Rattus norvegicus: one gene and its partner. The protein of the gene in region 1 purifies or fractionates together with the protein of each later gene. This does not show direct contact. Links are inferred from orthologs where the notes say so. Each region holds a gene or a part of one and is shown on either strand. Other genes may lie near its edges.

Region 1 (4,409 bases):
GAGTATTGCAGAAAAAAAAAGTAACCCTGATGGTTTAAGCTCTTTATTTAAAAAAAAAAAAAAATGGCATCGGGACTTTTTTCCTTCTCTCCCCTCTTTTGTACCCAAGTGCATTTTAGCCACAAAGGTTCCAACAAGAGAGTGGAAGGAAACTTAGACGGGGCTTTGTTTGACTCCGTGTAGCGACAACAAGAGAAACAAAACTACCTATTTGTAACGGACGTGGTGCTGTGGCTCTGGGCTTTTTGAGCGCCTGCCGATTGAAATCTTTACGTCTGGACAATGGGAGATCGGCTAAAATTACCCTCTCGGGTCCTGGGCGGGCAAGATTCTTGAGCCCCTACCTCCGCCCCCAGCCCATTCTCCCACAGCCTGGGCTTGCTCGGTCCCGGCTCCTCGGGTTCGGCCGGCCTTCCCTCTGCGCACGCCGCCTGCACCTGCACCTCTGGACCCCGCGCGTTTCCCAGGCCCCGGCGCCTCTCGGCCGGGCCTTCGCGACTACCACTGTGCCAATCAGCAGGGGCAATGCGGGCTGCGCTGCCCCATCCTGGGAACGCTGCGTGGGAGGGAGTTTGTGAGCGCAGCCTAAATGCCACCTCCGTGCCTCGCGGTGGGATGCCAGGAAGTTGCGTGACCCTCCCCCATCCTCTGCCCTCTGGAGCTTCTTTCTGTTGATTCTTTCGTCCCCTAGCTCTCATCTGAAATTGCCATCACTGAAATCCTCTTGTGTCGGGGTTGGGGGTTAGAAAGAGAGGGAGGAGTGAGTTCAAGCTTTGCGTTTGCACCCTTTAGATGGGACAGATTGGTGGAGGAGGGAGTTAGGGTTCAGGACACGTGCTGTGGTTCCTTGAGCCACACCTGAGTCGGCCTAGAAGAAGGCTGTGTACAGGGCCTGGCCCTAGCTCTACAGTCAGCCATATGGGCAGAGGACTCCTGTTTGGGAACCCAGCCGATGACGCGGAAGCCAGGAGGGCGCTGAGGCCTGGGTCTAACTTCTGGTCTGTTCTGTGAGAAAAGGGGGTGAGTGGGTGTTGGCAACAAGGTTGGAAGAGGGGCTGGGACAGAGAGCAGTGCCGCGGATGAGCGGAGGAACAATGGCACACCACCTCCGGCCCTGCCAGCTTCCTGAAATACTAGTTGGACGGTCGCCCCGAACCACCCATGGGCCTCGCCCCACCCTGGCCCCAGCTTTCCGCGCCCCATCCACCCTTATGTACCCAAGAGAGAGCCAATATTCCGTAGCATGGGGGAAAGGAGCTGTCGTCTTGGTGCTGTTTACCCACTTCCTTCGAACAGGCGTGCCGCCGTGACCTGTTGCTGAGAACGGGGGGGATACAAAGGTTCCCCCGCGGCGGGCTGCAGGCTGCGGGCCCGCCTCCCCCGCGCGGTTCGGGGCACAGCGCTCCGCTGCGCTCGGCTCGGCGGCGCGGCAGGCCCCGCCCCCTTTCATGCAAAACCCTCTGGCGAGGCTGGGCTCCGGCGCAGGAGCCGGCGCTCGCTGATTGGCCGCCGGAAACCCATTTATTCCCTGACAGCCCCCATCACATGGATGGTTGTCTATTAACTTGTTCAAAAAAGTATCAGGAGTTGTCAAGGCAGAGAAGAGAGTGTTTGCAAAAAGGGAAAAGTACTTTGCTGCCTCTTTAAGACTAGGGCTGGGAGAAAGAAGAGGAGAGAAAAAGAAAGGAGAGAAGTTTGGAGCCCGAGGCTTAAGCCTTTCCAAAAACTAATCACAACAATCGCGGCGGCCCGAGGAGGAGAGCGACTGTTTTTTCATCCCAATTGCACTTCGCCCGTCTCGAGCTCCGCTTCCCCCCAACTATTCTCCGCCAGATCTCCGCGCAAGGCCGTGCACGCCGACGACCCCGCCCGCGGCCCCTGCATCCCGGCCCCCGCGCGCGGCCCCCGCAGTCCCGGCCGGGCCGAGGGTCGGCGGCCGCCGGCGGGCCGCGCCCGCGCCCAGCGCCCGCATGTATAACATGATGGAGACGGAGCTGAAGCCGCCGGGCCCTCAGCAAGCTTCGGGGGGCGGCGGCGGAGGAGGCAACGCCACGGCGGCGGCGACCGGCGGCAACCAGAAGAACAGCCCGGACCGCGTCAAGAGGCCCATGAATGCCTTCATGGTGTGGTCCCGGGGGCAGCGGCGTAAGATGGCCCAGGAGAACCCCAAGATGCACAACTCGGAGATCAGCAAGCGCCTGGGCGCCGAGTGGAAACTTTTGTCGGAGACCGAGAAGCGGCCGTTCATCGACGAGGCCAAGCGGCTGCGCGCTCTGCACATGAAGGAGCACCCGGATTATAAATACCGGCCGCGGCGGAAAACCAAGACGCTCATGAAGAAGGATAAGTACACGCTTCCCGGAGGCTTGCTGGCCCCCGGCGGGAACAGCATGGCGAGCGGGGTTGGGGTGGGCGCCGGCCTGGGTGCGGGCGTGAACCAGCGCATGGACAGCTACGCGCACATGAACGGCTGGAGCAACGGCAGCTACAGCATGATGCAGGAGCAGCTGGGCTACCCGCAGCACCCGGGCCTCAACGCTCACGGCGCGGCACAGATGCAGCCGATGCACCGCTACGACGTCAGCGCCCTGCAGTACAACTCCATGACCAGCTCGCAGACCTACATGAACGGCTCGCCCACCTACAGCATGTCCTACTCGCAGCAGGGCACCCCCGGTATGGCGCTGGGCTCCATGGGCTCTGTGGTCAAGTCCGAGGCCAGTTCCAGCCCCCCCGTGGTTACCTCTTCCTCCCACTCCAGGGCGCCCTGCCAGGCCGGGGACCTCCGGGACATGATCAGCATGTACCTCCCCGGCGCCGAGGTGCCGGAGCCCGCTGCGCCCAGTAGACTGCACATGGCCCAGCACTACCAGAGCGGCCCGGTGCCCGGCACGGCCATTAACGGCACACTGCCCCTGTCGCACATGTGAGGGCCGGACCGCGAACTGGAGAAGGGGAGAGATTTTTCAAAAAGATACAAGGGAATTGGGAGGGGTGCAAAAGAGGAGAGTAAGAAAAATCTGAATGCTCAAAAGGAAAAAAAAAATCTCATTACCCGCAGCAAAATGACAGCTGCGGAAAAAAACCACCAATCCCATCCAAATTAACGCAAAAACCGTGATGCCGACTAGAAAACTTTTATGAGAGATCTTGGGACTTCTTTTTGGGGGACTATTTTTGTACAGAGAAAACCTGAGGGCGGCGGGGAGGGCGGGGGAATTGGACCATGTATAGATCTGGAGGAAAAAAACTACGCAAAACTTTTTTTTAAAGTTCTAGTGGTACGTTAGGCGCTTCGCAGGGAGTTCTCAAAAGTCTTTACCAGTAATATTTAGAACTAGACTCCGGGCGATGAAAAAAGTTTTAATATTTGCAAGCAACTTTTGTACAGTATTTATCGAGATAAACATGGCAATCAAATGTCCATTGTTTATAAGCTGAGAATTTGCCAATATTTTTCGAGGAAAGGGTTCTTGCTGGGTTTTGATTCTGCAGCTTAAATTAAGGACCGTTACAGACAAGGAAGGAATTTATTCGGATTTGAACGTTTTAGTTTTAAAATTGTACAAAAGGAAAACATGAGAGCAAGTACTGGCAAGACCATTTTCGTGGTCTTGTTTAGGGCAAACGTTCTAGATTGTACTAAATTTTTAACTTACTGTTAAAGGCAAAAAAAAAATGTCCATGCAGGTTGATATCGTTGGTAATTTATAATAGCTTTTGTTCAATCCCACCCTTTTCATTTTGTTCACATAAAAATATGGAAATTACTGTGTTTGAAATATTTTCTTATGGTTTGTAATATTTCTGTAAATTGTGATATTTTAAGGTTTTTTCCCCCTTTTATTTTCCGTAGTTGTATTTTAAAAGATTCGGCTGTTATTGGAACCAGGCTGCCGAGAATCCATGTATATATTTGAACTAATACCATCCTTATAACAGTTACGTTTCCAACTTAAGTTTTTACTCCATTATGCACAGTTTGAGATAAATAAATTTTTGAAATATGGACACTGAAATTATGCCTGAGTCTTTCATTTCTTTGGCTAGCATGCTTGTACATAACTTCTTGGGGGATTGGATAACTGTTCAGCCACCAAGATCTTGGTGTTACCAGCAATGTCTGTTAGCATTAACTGCAGAAGAAAAAAAAATGGCTGGATGATTAAAAACGGGAAACTGAAATGCGCTGACATTTCTAGAATAGAAACTAGAAGCATATATTGTAAGTCCACCCCCTCCTTTCCTGAGCAGCGTGAATAAGCGCGATGTGGGCTTAAGCTCTCTTGTAGCACTTGTTGCCAGAACGAGACGATTCTGAAATTTTTCGTGTAGCTTAGTAGATGGGGTACTGAGCCAAATCAGAACCAGGTTGGCTGGGTTGGTTTTCATTTTCTTCACAACACAAT
Region 2 (3,648 bases), on another chromosome or scaffold:
TTGGCTTGTCTTGAGAAAGTTTGTGTATAAAGATAGGAGTGGTCAAGGGAGAGCTAGGAAGGAAGCACCTTCTGAAGAACTTCATTAGTGAGGGTCTGCTGTCAAGTCTTTCTTCAAAGAACTGACAGTGTAATTCGACATCAAAGAATTTTGACTTGAGACTTCATCTAGCCTTTCAAGGCTACTCTTTTTGGGAGTGGTATTTTGAGATGGGGTTTCATCTCACTGGGTAGCTCGTGCTGTTCTAAAACAAAATTGTAGACTAGGCTGGCCTATATATCAGAGATCTGCTTGTGTCTGTATCCAGGAGTGCTGGGATCAAAGATGTGTGCTACCATCTCCAGTGTCAGACCTGGTGGGCCTTGTGAGTCTTAGGAGGAGGAGCAGGGGTTGGGGATTTAGCTCAGTGGTAGAGTGCTTGCCTAGCAAGCACAAAGCCCTGGGTTTGGTCCCCAGCTCCGGAAAAAAAAAAAAAAAAAAGAAAGAGTAGGAGGAGGAGCAGATGTTACAGGTGCTCTTTGCTGTCTTTAATTCCCAGGACATGATGGATGATATCTGCCAGGAGCAGTTTCTAGAATTGTCCTACTTGAATGGAGTTCCTGAACCCTCTCGTGGTCGTGGGGTGTCTGTGAGAGGACGAGGAGCTGCCCCTCCTCCTCCACCTGTTCCCAGGTAAAAATAGTTAAAAAGAAAATCTGACTAACCCCAGGAGGAGTCAGAGGGTTTATATAGTACATCAGGTATGGAATCTTAGCAGTCGGGTATTGCAGTCCTACTGAAACTTCAGGGTTTTTAATTTTGGATAGTCCTAGCATTTAAAAAAAAAAAATCCATATATCCATCCATCCATTTGTGAGCTTGGTGGTGGTGGTGGGTGTGAGGGTGTAAGTGTATTAGTGTGGATGTGTTAGTTAAAGGACAGTGTGTTAGGAATCCTATATTTTGGTCTTGGGGATTGAACTCAATGTCAGTCTTAATCAGCTGGTGTGTTTACCCACTAGGCCGTCTCATTCATCCCCAGTTGCCTTTTTTTTTTTTTTAAAGAATATTAATCACTATGTGGCCCTGGAACCTGTTAGATAGACCAGGCCCATCTGAAACTCAAAAAGAGATCCACTTTTGTCTCCCAAGTGCTGTGATGAAAGTCATGAGCCATCATGCCTGACTATATATGATTCCAGAATTTTACCTTTCGTGGTTAATATTTATGTAATATTCAGACAGTCGAGACTTGCCTGAGGTGCTATGATCGTGATTGAGCCCAGAGAATCTTGAAGTCTAGTTCCCTATATGTATGCTATTCTGTGCTTTAACGTCTGTTTTAGGGTTAGAGAAGGGCCACAGTTGGTAGAGGGTTTGCTTAGCATGCATAAATCTCTGGGTTTGATCCTAGCACTGTGCAAACTCCAGGGGATGATGACACACAGTTATAATCCCAACACTTAGGAAGTGAAGGCTGAAGTACAAGGCTGTCCTCAGTTACATGCTGAATTCAAGACCAGACTGGGTTATGTGAAACCCTGTCAGAAAAGGGAAGGAAAAGTAAAAACCAAAGGACAAGCAAGGGATACAGGCTCTGACTTACCAAGTGTGGCAGCAGAGCCTTCCTTTAAGAAATTAAAATTAGGACCTAGAGAGTCATTAAGATCACTGGCTCCTCTTCCAGAGATCTCAGTTTAATTCCCAGCTCCCACATGGTGGTTCACAGTCATCTATAATTCAGGTTCCAGAGGACCCAGCACACTCTTGTTGACACCTTCTTCTGGCCTTTGTGGGCACAAAGCGTACCATGTGTGCATGCAAGATATCCATACACATTGGATGACAATTATAAAATAATAACTATGTGTGCGTATATACTGGAAAAAATTAAAGTTAAGCGGCAGTGGTGGTAAATGCCTTTAATCCTAGCCCTAAGAAGACAGAGGCAGGAAGATCTTTGTTGGTCTACAGAGTGAGTTCCACACAGAAATGTCTTGGGGGTCATGTGGGGGGTGGGGGGGTGTTAAGGTTAGCTCAGTGTGGTAACACACAACTTTAGTCCTAATACCTAGTAGAGACAGTAGCAGGTGGAGTTCCAGAGCTACATAGGAGGACTTGTCTTAAATGAGTAAGTAATCGAAATGTAAAAATCATCCTACTTCTAGAATTTATGAACAGTTCTTAATATGAATGTGGCCTAATTATTAAAATCTCAAATTAATGTAAATTTTCTATTTGTAGAGGACGTGGTGTTGGGCCACCTAGAGGGGCTTTGGTTCGTGGAACCCCAGTAAGAGGCTCCATCACCAGAGGTGCCACTGTGACTCGAGGGGTGCCACCCCCACCTACTGTGAGGGGTGCTCCAACACCGAGAGCTCGGACAGCTGGTATTCAGAGAATACCTTTGCCTCCAACACCTGCACCAGAAACATACGAAGATTATGTAAGAATGTTTTGAACAATGTATTGTTTCTTCCATACCTAGGTTGCCAGATAAGTAATAAGGGTCTTACCCTTGTGTGTAGATAGAAGACAGTTCTTTAAGATTTGGAATCTGTGTTCTTGTTCAGTTGAATTTTGAAGTATGAGACGATTTTTCTTCTATTTTAGGCATTATTACTTTGTCTGTATAAGTTAAATAAGTAAGTTGTGGTTTAACATACAGAATTTTACTAAGATTGTAATACTAAAACCTTTTGAGTTTTGTCTTTCTGTTCTGCAGTTGGTATTAGTATTTTTGAGGATTTTCCGTAGCCTGTTCATTCAAATGCCCATGATCCCCTATGGGCTGTGATTCTCTTTATGCAGTTCTGACCTTCTACTTTATCGTTCCAGGGATATGATGATTCATATGCAGAACAGAGCTACGAAGGCTATGAAGGCTATTACAGCCAGAGTCAAGGGTGAGTGAGTCAGGCAAGAAGTCATGTCTGCGCAGTGTCTGTAGAGATGGATGGTGGGTAGAGTTGGAGAGACTAAAGATTTGGGCAAACACTACCCTAAGGAATAGTGTAATCTAATGTTTTAAAGGTATTTCCTCCACTTTTGATGACTTGATGGCATATTTGTGGCTCTGAGAATTTGGATAACTGAATTTTATGCTAATTTAGGCTCTTAAACTAATTGATGAACATTTCCTGAGCTATATAGAATGGAAGAGAAAAATACCATTAAATAATTGTTTGTTAAGAAGCTTCACTCAGGGGCTGGAGAGATGGCTCAGTGGTTAAGAACACTGACTGTTCTTCCAGAGGTTCTAAGTTCAATTCCCAGCAACCACATGGTGGCTCACGACCATCTGTAATGAGATCTGAGAGCAACAATGTACTAATAAATTCAAAACGAAACAAAACAAACAAAAAAAAGAAACGTCACTCAGGGGTTGGGGATTTAGCTCAGTGGTAGAGCGCTTGCCTAGCAAGCACAAGACCCTGGGTTTGGTCCTCAGCTCCGGAAAACAAACAAACAAAAAATGTCACTCGGGTTTGGAAGAAAGAAGTATGCAGTTGGTAGAGTGCTGTCCTGCATGTCATCTTAGCATGGGATCAAGAGTTCAAGAACAGCTTGGGATACAGGAGGCTTTGTTTCATGAAAAACAAATCAAGTCACTTTAGCCCATCCACACTGGAGATGCCTATGATTCTAAGAACAAGCTAGAAGCTTAAC

The links.
Region 2: the proteins of Sox2 (region 1) and Khdrbs1 purify together in Homo sapiens (affinity purification with mass spectrometry; 3 studies listed by BioGRID and IntAct, with this or other methods). This does not show direct contact. The link is inferred for Rattus norvegicus from reciprocal best matches to the Homo sapiens genes SOX2 and KHDRBS1.

What each region holds. Positions count from the first base shown.
Region 1 is NC_086020.1:119,463,524-119,467,932, forward strand, and holds Sox2 (transcription factor SOX-2), read left to right. Parts: upstream 1-1,607; 5' UTR 1,608-1,970; coding exon 1,971-2,930; 3' UTR 2,931-4,019; downstream 4,020-4,409. UniProt on the Homo sapiens protein: Transcription factor that forms a trimeric complex with OCT4 on DNA and controls the expression of a number of genes involved in embryonic development such as YES1, FGF4, UTF1 and ZFP206. Binds to the proximal enhancer region of NANOG.
Region 2 is NC_086023.1:147,352,913-147,356,560, reverse strand, and holds part of Khdrbs1 (KH domain-containing, RNA-binding, signal transduction-associated protein 1), read left to right. Parts: intron 1-538; coding exon 539-672; intron 673-2,223; coding exon 2,224-2,425; intron 2,426-2,817; coding exon 2,818-2,885; intron 2,886-3,648. UniProt on the Homo sapiens protein: Recruited and tyrosine phosphorylated by several receptor systems, for example the T-cell, leptin and insulin receptors. Once phosphorylated, functions as an adapter protein in signal transduction cascades by binding to SH2 and SH3 domain-containing proteins.